2 linked regions of the Saccharomyces cerevisiae S288C genome follow. Changing the gene in region 1 together with any one later gene gives a genetic interaction. Each region holds a gene or a part of one and is shown in the gene's direction. Other genes may lie near its edges.

Region 1 (7,521 bases):
GGGTGGTGGAGGTGTGGCCTCTCCAACTGACAAAATATCAAACAAACAATTTTGCGACGACGAAATAAAAGCACTTGTAGATGTCGCAAATAGTTACCACACATACGTAACAGCACACGCCTACACTGCGGAAGCGATACAAAATTGTATCAAGTTAGGTGTTAAGGGTATCGAACACGGAAACTTATTAGATGAACGTACCGCAGAGCTTATGGCAGAATTGGGTTGCTACTTGACTCCAACACTAGTTACCTACAAAGTGATGGGTTCTGATCAATTTAGTGCATTCTTGGGACCTGAAAATAGTAGAAAAAATACAGAGGTGCTTTACAAAGGAATTGATGCAATGAAAATTGCCCAGAAAAAAAAAGTTAAAATTTGTTTTGGTTCAGATTTATTGGGTCCTCTATATGGTTATCAAACGCAAGAGTTTCGTATTAGAGGGAAAGTTCAAACGACACAAGAGATTTTGCTCTCAGCAACTGTTACTCCTGCCGAAATGAACGGATTAGGCGATAAATTGGGACAGATTAAGCCAGGGTTCATTGCTGACCTACTGATGATGAAATCAAATCCGTTGGACGATATAACGATTTTGGATGAACCCGAGAGCAACATACTATTTGTCATGAAAGAGGGAAGGATATATTGATGTAGTTATAGTTGTTTTCACAGTCAGCATTATTTCTGAATGCTAGAAGCCTTTTTTTTTTTGAAGTCATAATAAAATATTTGGCTTGTAAATTTAAGTATTGAAGTCAAAATATCCTACTTATATCACAGTGAAATGTGAGGTGGATATGGCCCTTTAGGGCCCTTAATTTTACAAGTTACAGAATCTTTTTTTTTTTTATAGCATTTGTAAGGTCCGTGTATTCAGAAAAAAATCCAAGCTTAAAAAAGTGTATATAACATTTGGTATCTGAAATACGGATCTATCATAAAATAGAACACCTCAAGGAGGTATAAATTTTAAAAGTTTTTTTATTGTATGCTCGTGCCCGTTTTTTCTTAAAGTCGGAATTTGTTATCGAACACTTGGCATGCGCTAAAGATCGTTAATTTACAAAAATAAGGCGGATGAGATGCCTCCGCTAAATATTGCAGGGGTCGCTTTGAATGTTTCGACCAAAATGTGCTCTAAAATATAGAAATATCATTATTAACAGTATAATTAAACGTTGAGATAAAGTATTTCAAGTTAAGCAATATGAAAGGATGACAGAAAAGAAAATAATTTCTTAATATTACAGAATATGAACTAAAGTTTGCTATTACGTGTGCCAAATTTTGAATTAAAACTTGATATGAACCTCTGCAGGTTTATTATTATGTTTTCATGATTACCACCATTTATCATAACCAAATGTCTCACCTTTCTTTAAGGTATAAAATTTTTTATAATCATTATCATACGTTCTTTTCCAAACGTTGTTTCCCCACCAGCTGAGCTTACCACCTGGGTACTGTACACACAAGAAGATGATGACGACGGAGATTGCCACACCTGCTTCAACACCGGCCCCCATGACGAAATTGTACTTATTGAACCAAGCTCTCCATCTTTTTCTTATCAAGTTTAGGCAGAATGACATTGCAAAAAATAATGAGTAGTTATAAGGTGTGCTTGGTGGAATATTACCTGGGCCTGTGAAAAATACAGGAGTATGAATGTGCTTAGCAAATTTAAATTTAGGGAATTTCCATTGAACAGCATAAACGGCTAGTGGGAATAGCAAACCAATCAAGAAGAACCACATCAGCGGATTATAAATGCGCCCTGATGAGAAAAGATACTTTGGCAAAGACCAGATAATGGAAGCATTGAAAACCGTGCGACCATTAGCACAAGTGAAGCCATTTGGTTGATCGGTGGTACATAAGCCATCGATATTATGCATCATCCATTCCTGGACACCAACGTTAACCATGCCTGATATGATAGTGGCATAGATTTGAACGGCAAAGATCAAACGAGGGGAAACCTTCATGTACATGGCTAATTTCAAATCTCTACTCAAATTCAAGCCTTGTCTCATGACAATAAATCCGTATAGCTTGAATAATAAGTTTGCCATTGGTCTTAAAGGCAGCATATAACCGCAGATCAATTCTGTGATAATATTCAAACCTACGTGTTGGTTAGTCATTGCTTCCAAGATACCTTGCGGGATGAAATTTACAAGGGAAATTAATATTGCAATAACAAATGCCCAAGCTGGGAACTTAGTATCGAAACAGCACACTGCTACAAATCCTAAACCGATCATGACAATCTGCAAAAGTAAATACCACCAATCGGGACAATCCTTATAGTTCTTGGAGTAGATTCTCATGTGAATGTCAGTGCCACCATTTTTACGGTCTTTAAACTTGGCGACAATATCTTTACCGTGGTATAAGATGCAGTGGACAAAAACGGCGATAACAGCGGCAAAATTTAAAGCATACGACAAAAGATAGGAAAATGGAACGAATACCGGTGAGTATTCCTTATATTTCTCAAGATTAATGGAATAATCCTCGTTAAGAATCTTTGTTACGTTGTATTTGTTTTGAGTGTTGTCATAAGTAGAACCTGAAATGACGGGCATGTATTTGGCATACCAGGTATTCGTAAAATAAAGACATGGCAGCACTATGACGAAGAATATCAACACTGATGCATAGGTGTTGGCGGAGACGTAGAATGGTGTGGCGAAAACAGAGCCGGACATGGCTTGGGAAACCTGGGTGTAGTCAAATGTAATTGGCAACGCACCGAGACCACTTTGAGTACCAAAGATTGTGTTAGCGATGAAATTGTGTCTTGTCTTCGACCCCCATAGGATAACGTTGAAATAGGACAGACCGGTAAAGAGGAATCCAGGTACCCAATACCAGATGAACGATCCGATAAGGACGATTAAGAAGAACCTGTAACGGGGCATCGTCCAACCATTTGCGACTGTCTTTTCAACTTTTCTCGAGTGCAACGAATCAAACAAGGACACTGAAATTAAAGTCTGAGGCCAGATAGAGCTTGCAGGGTTGACGACCCATCTTCTGGTAAGACCTGCAGCACCATAACCAATCATTTGAGATGTCCAAACCAACAAGAACTGATATCCGACATTAAGTTTCATGTTGTAAAAGCTTCCCTGGGCGTTCAAAATGTACATAGCGTATGCAGTAGAGGAAGTAAGCGCCACGGCAATTGTGACCACGGCGTGTTCCTTTTTGGTAAATGGGCCCGGGTTTAAATCGAAAAATGGCACTTTAGAACACTTCCAGTCGGGCAAGAGAGCCAGTATCCTACCAATTGGGTAGCAAACAACTTGTGCAACAAGGAAGTTGATCTCTAGCGATGGATATCTCAGGGAAAAAAATTGATTAACACCGGCGAAAACTACCACAAACACCGTGGTCAAGAACCACGTTCTCCAGTGGTTGAGGCGGATGGTGGGGTCATCCTCGATGGACACCGCCGATCTCACTTCAGGATATGGAGAATTGGGCAAGTATGTAGGGTCGCCCTTCCAAACGAGACCTTCCTCCTGTATGGAATGCCTGTCGAATTTTTGGCTTTCCGGATCGCGGTCCTCCTCATCAGTAGTCGCAGTGAGATTATTGACGTCCTCGTCAATATTCTTAACGAAAGCATCTTTCTTTTCCTCTTCCATATTGATCTGGATAGGAATGGTTGTTGGCGTTGGCGAGGGCTCCGACTCCAACGAGTCGCTCTCCCTATAAATGGTACTCATGTGTTCTGTGACGTTATATAATTGTTGCGGTTATTTTCTGCCACACAGTCGAAAACTTTTTACCAAGAATACACAGCTTCCGATGATTGTCCATATATAGTCGAAACAATTCATTGAATAGCCCAAAATTTGAAAAAAAAAGAAAAATGATGGGCACCCCATGATGATAAGAGCTCTCTTTCTTCAACAACGATTGCTAAGGCGTTTACAGACCCATCGACTGCCCTTGCAGTGGGTTTGATGTGATTAACAGGCAGCAGCAACAAGCAACTGCTGAAAACCTTGGTGCCTTGCAGACGGCTATTGTCCTGGATTTTGTGTGACAAAACGTAGATGTGGCGTCTTGTAGTCGGAGGTGTGGCGGGCCGGAAAAATAGTGGAAAAAAAGAAAATTAATGCGATAGCGACGGGCAGGTAGGGAGGTTTGAGGGGTCCGTAGTATGCGTCTATCGTTGCAACAAGGGTGACTAATGCCATGTCTTGGCCTTTGATGCAACGTCTCGGAAGTTAGTATCGATCCGAGGAGTGGAACGGATGCGATTTCCCCTCCATTCTATCGATAAGGTTGCTGGGAAACGCATTATAAGGGATGAGTGAAGACGGAGGGAAAGCATAACGAGGAGAGATTGCCGAGATAACTGAGAAGACGTAATCTAAAGGCAACGCAGCATGTCTCGAGTTGCACAGCTCGACTCGATAGCGCTTGATAAAGAATTGTATGGACAGTTTTGGTCCGAGTTCAATGCAGCATTCAATACGAGTGAACACAAAGAGGAATGGGAGTTGGCACTGAACACAGTTGTGTTTATGTGCGCGACGAGGTTCCTGCCACACTATGGCTCTAGCTGTACGTATGGATCCGCACTCAGTGGCGTGGTTTTTCAGTGCAGGAAACGCACCTTGTATGTCGTCACTGTCTTGGCAGGGTACGTGTGGAAGAAGATCACACATATTATTTTTAATGGGCCGCACTGTGGGAACCAGATGATGTGGCTGAAGCTGTACAAATGGGTTAATTTATTGTATCACGGCTGTGATGTAACCAACTTCCTGAGGTTTCTAGCAGCGGAAGGGCCCAATGCGAGGGCGTTTTTGTCGCCGTTATACCGGGCTTTTAATGTCCATTCCACAAGGTTGATTCGGGATGGTTCTGCAATTGCCTCTGAATTTTATTCGAACTCTGTATTCGCTGGGTTAGAATACCAGAATAGACAATTGCTATGGAATGCACTATTAGAACTCTTTTCCAATACACTACTTACGAAAAGAGGACTCTTGACCTTTGTTAAAAAACCACCAAGGTCTCGTTCTACGACTACTTATAAGACAGTTTGCCCCCGTTGCGGCGGTTTTCCAACCAACCCATACCAGATCGCTTGTTGTCGTGCGAACTACTGTTACGTGTGCGTTGTAAAGGCGTTGGAGTGGTCTATGTGCGATGCCTGTGGATCCTCTGGGAGACTGACCGCCTCACCAGTGTACTAAAGGGCCCCGTTCCCTCGCTTGTATCTCTATATATGTGTATACTATATTCATATTCATGTTGTCAAAATCGGTCACGTGGTAAAGGGTCTGGTTTTTTTTTTTTCACTTTCTGCTCAAGAAAAAAAAGAAACAATAAAGAAGTGGTATAATATCATCATGGAACGCTGTACGGGACGATGTGGGAAGCGACGTCTGAAATCCAGTAATAATAAACAGTGAGCACTTTAGGATAGCAGTAGTTTGCATTTTGCACGTTTCCCTTTCCATGCAATGTTTTTACCTCGTCTCGTTCGGTACAGGACCGAGAGGTTTATAAAAATGGTACCTACCAGGACCTTGCGACGAATCAACCACAGCAGCAGGGATCCAATTCAAAAACAGGTCTTGGCCCTTATCAAAGCAAATGCGAATTTAAATGACAATGACAAGTTGAAAATACGGAAATATTGGTCTGACATGGCGGACTACAAAAGTCTTCGGAAACAAGAAAATAGCTTACTGGAAAGCTCTATATTACACGAGGTCAAGATCGAAGATTTCATCAGTTTCATCAATCGCACAAAAACCTCATCTATGACTACAAGAGGAATTTATAGAAGAGAATGTTTGTACCAATGCAAGAAAAACTTGGATCTAGTCAATCAAGTGGTCTCCCAAGTTTCATCCGTAAGACATCAAAAGCCCTTGACTACGCAATTGGATACTATGCGCTGGTGTGTTGATGATGCCATCGGCACAGGAGACATAGTTATGGCTGCCGACCTTTTCCTGCTGTACTACAGATTATTTACAGATGATAAAAAGCTAGACGAACAATATGCTAAGAAAATAATATCAGTATTAGCGTACCCAAACCCACTGCATGATCATGTTCATCTAGTCAAATATTTACAACTGAACTCTCTGTTCGAAAGTATAACCGGAGGCGGAATAAAGTTAACGAGGTTTCAATTAGAAACTCTTTCTAATAAGGCCCTCGGCTTAAGTAATGAAGCCCCGCAATTATGCAAGGCTATACTGAACAAACTGATGAATATAAACTATTCTTTGACTAACGATTTGAAGCTTCGGGATGATCAAGTGCTGCTTGCGTACAAGTCCATTGATGAAAATTATAGAAGAGGAAATGTTGCAAGTGTGTATTCTATTTGGAACAAAATCAAAGAGCACTATGTTTCCATTTCTGCACATGATTCCAGAATCATTTATAAAGTCTTCAAGATTTGTACCCATAATAGAGCCTATAGATCTATATGTAGCGAAATGTTTTGGCAATTAACTCCAGAGTACTATTGTAATAACCCTTTGATATTACCGGCAATTATTGACTTCATTACAAAGCAAGACTCTTTAACAATGGCCAAGGAACTCATGCAGAACATTAACAGATACACTTTACCCGAAAACCATCATATTGTCTGGCTTAACAAGAGATGTCTTTCTTCATTGCTAAGAATGCATTTGAAATTTAACGATTCTAACGGTGTAGATAGGGTTTTGAAGCAAATAACAACAAATTTCAGGGCGCTTTCGCAAGAAAATTATCAAGCAATAATTATTCACCTTTTCAAAACACAAAACCTCGATCATATCGCTAAGGCAGTCAAATTACTCGATACTATACCCCCCGGACAAGCAATGTTAGCCTATGGGTCAATAATTAACGAAGTAGTTGATTGGAAATTGGCTTCAAAGGTCAAGTTCACCGATAATTTGATGGCACTTGTAAACGATTTGTTGACGAAGGCACATGATTTTGATCCTGACCACAGAAACTCTCTTTGGAATGTGGTTTCCGCTTTATACATTAAAAAACTTTGTCATTATAAAAAGCGAGATGGTAAATTTGTTGCCAATGCCAAGAAGGATATCGATTTGGCAAAACTACTTTATATAAATGCTGCAAAGAGAAGTAAAACATACTGGACAAAATCGAACTGTAACCCATTCATTGCATCCTCCCCATGTGATGTCAAATTAAAAGTGAATAATCAAAACAGGTTTACTATTTTAAGGAATATTGCATTAAGCGCACTGCAGATAGGAAGAACAGACATTTTTCTTTGGGCGTGCGCAGAACTATACCAGAACGGTATGACGATTGAGGAATTGAAGTTAGACTGGAATTTCATCTTAAAACATCAAATTAGAAATTCAGAGTTCAAAACAAACAAGGAGATCATACAAGATATTAAAAAGCATGGTGTGTCGGCTGTCAAACGTTACTTAAGATGAACGGCCAAACGCACATTTACGATATAAATAACAAAGCAAATAATAACAAAACAAATTT
Region 2 (7,313 bases), on another chromosome or scaffold:
TCTTTTACTTTTTATTTTCTTTTCTTTGTACTTCCTCAAATAAGCATCTTTAGCAGGTTAACAATAGCAAATATCATGTCCAGCCCAAATCACATAATACTTTCCACTTCACTTTCACTATCTGTTTCGGGAGACCTATCATCCACGGTATTGACAGTTGGTCTTTGGAAATCAGTTGCATGTGCCCAAGGAATGGATCTCGAAATGTTCTCAAACACGGAGGACCTTCTTCTGAAAGTCCCACGGTAAGCGGGCATAGGTTCGGCAAAACTGTGAGGATTATTGTCATGTGAAGGCGTGATAGGTATGTCGTTAAGTGATGAAAAGGCTTTTGAACCCAAATCACTACTATCCATAGAATCATCACCGACCTGCGCAATTGGATAAGGCAGAGGAGCGTCACCGGTAACCCTGAATAGGTGAACATTGGCAACATGTTCATTTTCGACTCTGAAGATGATCCAAACGAATCTTCTTAAAACCTCCAAAAGGGCCAATATAAACGACGTCACAGCACTCTGCTGAATTGTTTGAGGAGCAATTGCGTATACAATCCACTCAAATCTAATGAGGATATCCCAAATCATAGCAAAGTAATAAACTAACTTCCTACTGAATGAATAACTGCCGTTTTCCCAATTTTTTTTACCAGCTAAATACAAGTCGTCTCTTAGCAACCAATTGTAAGAAGTAGTATTGTGAGCAAAGGACCAATCCATAACTAAATCCCAGGCGGAAGTAAGGATCGAATTCAACGTAGCGCACACGATAAAAGGGGTTCTCCTTTGTTCAGAACGGTCTGACAATCTGTAAGCACAAAGTGTGGCATTATACGCTATACCCAAAGTGTATTTCGCCGCGTTCAAAAGATGAGGGAACCAATCACCGGAATCAGCAAATCTTCGTAAACATTGCATGAATCTCCAATAACTTGGTAAACATGATAAAACACCCATTGCTCTGGAATGTGAAGAGCCACATAGATTGTTGGGCGTATGAGAGTAAACACAGAAGAACATGGCAATATCGGCAATAGAATACGTCAACGAACAAATAATATCTCCCAAAAAGAAATCACCAAACTCAACAGGGAAAAAACCAGACATCATCAGTCTAATAAGAGTAACCACCAGCCATTTTCTAGTGTGTACAACTTTGTCCCAATATGGAATTAGACCAGAGGGACATAAAAATAAGAAAGACACAATACCAATATATAAAAAGCCTAAGGGTGTGAGCTTCTCCAAAGCGAAACTTAACATGGAACAGACCGCACAAGGTACTATGAAGAATGTCAAGAAATACAACTTGAGCGGAATTTTACTCGTGGCAAAATCATTGTTGAAAAATTGCGTACCATTCTTGGATTGAATCTCACCCAGCATAATAAATCTATAATTAATCCCGGTTCTATGCCAGATAAAACAATTAACAAGAAAGAGAAACGCGATCAACAAAACCATGTACCAACCACCCCACAGTGGGAACAGAATCTTGTGCGTAAATGACGTTTCTTCAGAGCTAATGCCCAAATACAAAGTGTAAGTGATCAAAGTCATTGACACACCTATGCCCAGCCCGACAACCAGCATCTGCACAATCGATCTGTTGTTTCTATGAACCATTTGTTCGGAGATAGAGTACTGAATGGTCAATTTCTTCAACTTATGGGTATTGTGCTTCCTGTCCTTAGGCGAATTGGTCAACGCAGTGGTGAACCACTCGGTGATCTGCGTTTCCAACCAAGTGATGGGCTCTTTGTCTCTTTGGGCGGAAGAGAGCTCCGAAGTGGGTGTTGGTTGCGAACTGGTTATTTGTTGCATCTTCTGTGCCACCAACTGCACGTTGGCATCCGCGTGCTTGAAAAGGGTGTAGTGGGTCCTGGCGTACGACATGAACGTGGTCAGCTCTCTTGTGTGACACGTTTTGTCGAATTTCTTGACCATTTTACGGAACCCGGTGACGTTGATATCCCGGAACGATTTGACCAATTGCAAGTACAGATAGTACTCGATTATAGCGTTGCTTAACAAGTTTCTAGCCTGGGTTGTCGTCATAGTCTCCAGAAAAGAAGCGCCAAAAGCAAACGTCTCGCGGCCTCTTGAGGACGCATCCTGTCTCAAGTCCTGTAGCAGAGAAAATCCACGTTTGGGCCACGATGGCAGCAGCCTATTGTCCTTAAGAACTTTCTGACAGTACGCTAGCAGCGACAAACGCGGCTTCTTGGCCTCTTTGGTGCAGGGCATTGACCCATACATAACAGACCGGCTATCGCTGTCGATGCTATTGACCCTGGAGTCAGAACGACCAGCAAGCCCTGCCGCATATAGACTCGTGGACATGTCAACATTCGAACTAGACCGGTTCAAGTTGTCGCGCTCATAATTCTTCTGCAGCGAGTAATAGTGCAGTTGCGACTGTAAAACCTCAAACTTCTTGTCGCACTCCTTTAGCAACCAAAGGTAAAACTCGTTACACTTACTCAACTGGAACGAGATCAACCAGTCTTCAATGAAGTCAGCAACGAACTCCCTCTGCAAAGCAGAATAGTCCTTCTTGAACGCAGGTCCGGAGCGATAGTCTCCGTCGCTGCGACTTTTGCCGGGCTCTCTCTGCTGAAATGCAGTCTGGTATACCGACACAGAGGGCATCCAGCTCCGGTAGGAGCTGGATTGCTCTTCTTCGGCATCCAGCTTCTCCTTGTAGCGGCGAAGCTTCTTCTTGCCGACCTTATAATCAATATATTTGTCCCTCCATTCCGGGATGGCAGACTCGGTTAGATGGTCAGCAAACTTCATCTGATACGGTGCTATGGTAAAGCCCTTCCATTGCTGCCAACTGAATTAAAAAAAAAAAAAAAATAACTACCAACCATCAAATCAAACAAAACAAAACAAAAAAGCAAAGGAGAAAACCCATCTTGTACATGTACAGTCCCAAACTGTTGCGAAACCGTGCGATGATGTTCATGGAACTTGCGTCAAATAAAACCGCATCCCGTCCCACGTGACAAACGGCACCCAAAATCCGTTCTAGAAATGCCTCACACCCACACCGATGATGGGCTTCCGACTCGATGACTACCAACACATAGCCAGCCGCAGCGGCTGGCAGCATGTGCATGATAATGATAAGTGATGATGAATGATGGTGATAACGATTTTGAACAAATGGCTGCAGCGATAGCAACTAAGGGGATGGAAAGACAGATCTGGGAGAGATAACTGCAGGGTGTGGCACGGCAACACAAGGCTATTGTATTGCACTAAACGGGCAAGAAGCCATGATGTGCGTCTGTATCCCAAAAAAAAAACTAATGGATTGGCGCGTGTACTATATATATTCATATGTCGTGTGTTTGTATATGTGTGGGAGTGATTGTGCGTGTATATGTGTGTTGGCGTGTGTGGTACAATGTGTGTGTTTTAATGTAGAAATGAGGTTGTAGCACGTGATCGGGAAGCCACAGTTTGCGCGGAGATATTTTATTTTTTTTCATCAGCGTAAGAAGAAAGCAACCTTGCAGTCTGTATCGTAAGAGAAGACTGCAGTTAAAGAAGTTTAGAGAAGAGGCTTGAGTATCGGTAAAGGGGTGTGTGTTTGGTGATTTATAAAGGAGAAGGGCATGAGGAGAGAGAGGCAAAGGATGATGAGTTTCGAGGACAAGGACAAGGACGACCTTGACAATAGTAATAGTAATAACAGCAGTGAAATGACAGATACGGCGATGATGCCACCATTAAAGAGATTGCTTATTACGGGCAGTAGCGATGATTTGGCACAAGGATCATCGGGTAAGAAGAAGATGACGATGGCGACGAGGTCGCCATCGTCATCACCCGATTTGGCGACAAACGACAGCGGCACTAGGGTACAGCCATTGCCAGAATATAACTTCACCAAGTTCTGCTATCGGCATAACCCGGACATTCAGTTCTCACCAACTCATACAGCGTGCTACAAGCAGGATTTGAAACGAACGCAAGAGATTAATGCTAATATCGCGAAGCTACCCCTGCAGGAGCAATCCGACATCCACCACATTATCTCGAAGTACAGCAATTCCAATGACAAGATACGGAAGCTGATTCTGGATGGGATCCTATCGACGAGTTGCTTCCCACAGCTTTCCTACATTTCGTCACTCGTTACACACATGATCAAGATCGACTTCATCAGCATTCTGCCGCAGGAGCTGTCGCTGAAGATCTTGAGTTATCTGGATTGCCAATCTCTTTGCAACGCCACGAGAGTGTGCCGCAAGTGGCAGAAGCTCGCGGATGACGACAGGGTATGGTACCACATGTGCGAGCAGCACATAGACAGGAAATGTCCCAACTGTGGCTGGGGGCTGCCTCTTTTGCACATGAAACGTGCGCGGATACAACAGAATAGTACAGGATCTAGCAGCAACGCAGATATCCAGACGCAAACTACGCGACCTTGGAAAGTCATCTACAGAGAACGGTTCAAAGTGGAGTCAAACTGGAGAAAGGGCCACTGCAGGATTCAGGAATTCAAGGGCCACATGGATGGTGTGTTAACGCTCCAGTTTAACTACAGGCTTTTGTTCACAGGCTCGTACGACTCCACCATAGGTATATGGGACTTATTCACGGGGAAGCTAATACGAAGGCTCAGCGGCCATTCGGACGGCGTCAAGACATTATATTTTGACGATAGAAAGCTGATTACGGGCTCGCTCGACAAGACGATCCGTGTTTGGAACTACATAACCGGTGAATGCATTTCCACGTATCGAGGCCACTCGGATAGCGTTCTGAGCGTAGATTCATACCAGAAGGTTATCGTTTCCGGCAGTGCTGACAAGACGGTCAAGGTATGGCACGTGGAGTCCAGGACATGCTACACCTTGAGAGGCCACACGGAATGGGTTAATTGCGTCAAATTGCATCCGAAAAGCTTTTCATGTTTTAGTTGCAGTGACGATACCACAATCCGAATGTGGGATATCAGGACCAATTCATGCCTAAAAGTGTTCAGGGGTCATGTAGGGCAGGTGCAAAAGATCATACCGCTTACCATTAAGGATGTAGAGAATCTAGCCACCGACAACACTTCTGATGGCAGCTCTCCGCAGGATGACCCAACAATGACTGATGGTGCAGACGAATCAGACACACCGTCGAACGAGCAAGAAACTGTCTTAGATGAAAACATACCTTATCCAACACATCTACTATCTTGCGGACTGGATAACACAATCAAACTATGGGACGTCAAAACCGGTAAATGCATAAGAACACAGTTTGGGCACGTGGAAGGTGTTTGGGACATCGCCGCTGACAACTTCAGAATTATAAGTGGTTCTCACGACGGAAGCATTAAGGTCTGGGACTTGCAAAGCGGGAAGTGTATGCACACGTTCAACGGTCGAAGACTACAAAGAGAAACTCAGCACACACAAACACAATCCTTGGGTGATAAAGTCGCCCCTATCGCTTGTGTTTGTATTGGAGATTCAGAATGCTTTAGTGGTGATGAATTTGGGTGCGTAAAAATGTACAAATTCGATCTCAATGATTAGGACCTGTGTGTGGTCTTTTCTTGGTCAAAAACATCCGTAGTACCTCGAATATATATGCTTACATATATAATGAAAAATACATAATAGCATTTTACATTTATTTTATTTCCAGGAAAAAAATAAATCGCTAGCGTATCACTAGCCTTTTCCATCTTCAGTTTTTTTCCTTCCTCTTTTTCGTCTCGATAAAACTCTTGACCATTAGATGCTATTACTCCCCCACGGAGCCCTTCCCACGCTAAGGGGGATGTCAAGGGGGGGACTGAAGATAAAGCTTATTATATTGACGGCGATGATGAAGAGGGCGTACGCATAAAATGTCGTACAAGATCCATAATCTGCAATATTGTTCCCTCAACAGTACTAATAAATCCAAAGGGCGAAGGTACTTTATTATATAAACGCGCACGGCCATTGTATATAAAGGCGATTACATAATAGAATACTTATCGATTCCGTAATCCTTGAAATATAGAATATACATAAAATAGACAAGAACCCAACAGTTGAGGCGCCAGCTTTGGTAATAGCTTAATAATAAATAAAAAAAGATAATATAGCTAGCTAGTATTATTGCTTTTATCCGTATGGCCACCACCACGCAACCACAAAATATACTGATGGATGAACCTTTAAATCTTCCTAATAACAGTGCCCACAACAATAACTATGGAAACATAAATGCGAATATAAGAACTTTTGCTGGTATGAGCATGCACATGCACCCTGCCAGGCTGAACTCTCTGGAGTTTTTGCACAAGCCCAGGAGACTATCTAATGTAAAACTGCACAGATTACCTCAGGACGAGCTTCAAAGAAATACGGACATGAATAAGGGAATGTATTTTAATGGGAAACAAGTTCATGCCCATCACCCGTTTATAAATTCTGGAGCGAACTTTAACGCACATCATCAAGACGTCAGTAAATTAGGCGAGGAGGAAGACGAAATCTCTCCTCTATCACATGATAATTTCCAGTATGAATCCGAGGAAAATGGTAATCCTTCACCTCCCATTTACAAGAAATCTGGAGAACTGGTTAAGAGTTCATTAAAAAGAAGATCCAAGTCCCTACCCATTACTCCCAAATCTATATTCAACAAAACTGGCTCTAAGAGTAAACATGTCAATTTAGATCATGTAGATACTAGGCTATTGCAAAGAAGTAAAAGTGTCCATTTCGATCGTGTTTTACCAATAAAGCTGTTCAATGAAAATGAGAAACCCATAGATGTTGGCAAACAAATGGTTCAACAAGATGTTCTGAATTTCAAGCATAAGCCTTTGACGAGACTAAGTGCCCTTAATGGCGGTAGTGATAGCGTACCTATAGAAGATTTACTATCTGAAAACAACCAAAACGAATATGGAGATACATGGCTACAAAACCCGAAGGGTGTATTCCTATTTGGTACAAATTCTAATAATCGTAGAAATAAAAAAAAGAAGTTTAAACTAAGTGACGATGACAGTGATATTGAAAATGACAATGATAGTGACGACGCTATAAACCGTTTAGTAAGGCAACAAGACAAAGACCAAGCTCATCTTGCGCACGGGTTGAAGAATTTGTTAATAAACGATGACGACGATTATTTAGAAACAAGAACAAATTCTGCTAAATCAGGAGCCAACTTGTTTATTGGAAACTCTAAAAGAATTGTTGGTCTTTACAACAAGAACTTTCCAATATTAAGTGACAGGAACCGTAAGAGTTTAAAACTTAACATATTTCTGAATCTTTCCCGTGGAAGGCCCGTTTT

What was found. Genes that interact genetically often act in the same process or in processes that back each other up.
Region 2: mutations in PEX2 (region 1) and MET30 together harm fitness more than expected from each alone (negative genetic interaction), as found in Saccharomyces cerevisiae (2 studies listed by BioGRID).

What each region holds. Positions count from the first base shown.
Region 1 is NC_001142.9:32,507-40,027, forward strand, and holds PEX2 (ubiquitin-protein ligase peroxin 2), read left to right. Parts: upstream 1-4,412; coding exon 4,413-5,228; downstream 5,229-7,521. Other genes in the region: YJL213W (uncharacterized protein), read left to right, coding at 1-652; oligopeptide transporter OPT1, read right to left, coding at 1,344-3,743; CBP1 (Cbp1p), read left to right, coding at 5,499-7,463. UniProt on the Saccharomyces cerevisiae protein: E3 ubiquitin-protein ligase component of a retrotranslocation channel required for peroxisome organization by mediating export of the PEX5 receptor from peroxisomes to the cytosol, thereby promoting PEX5 recycling.
Region 2 is NC_001141.2:265,026-272,338, forward strand, and holds MET30 (ubiquitin-binding SDF ubiquitin ligase complex subunit MET30), read left to right. Parts: upstream 1-3,625; coding exon 3,626-5,548; downstream 5,549-7,313. Other genes in the region: SYG1 (Syg1p), read right to left, coding at 90-2,798; YIL046W-A (uncharacterized protein), read left to right, coding at 3,284-3,448; putative protein phosphatase regulator PIG2, read left to right, coding at 6,136-7,313. UniProt on the Saccharomyces cerevisiae protein: Substrate-recognition component of the SCF(Met30) complex, an E3 ubiquitin ligase complex that mediates the ubiquitination and subsequent proteasomal degradation of target proteins. Negatively regulates sulfur amino acids biosynthesis genes expression.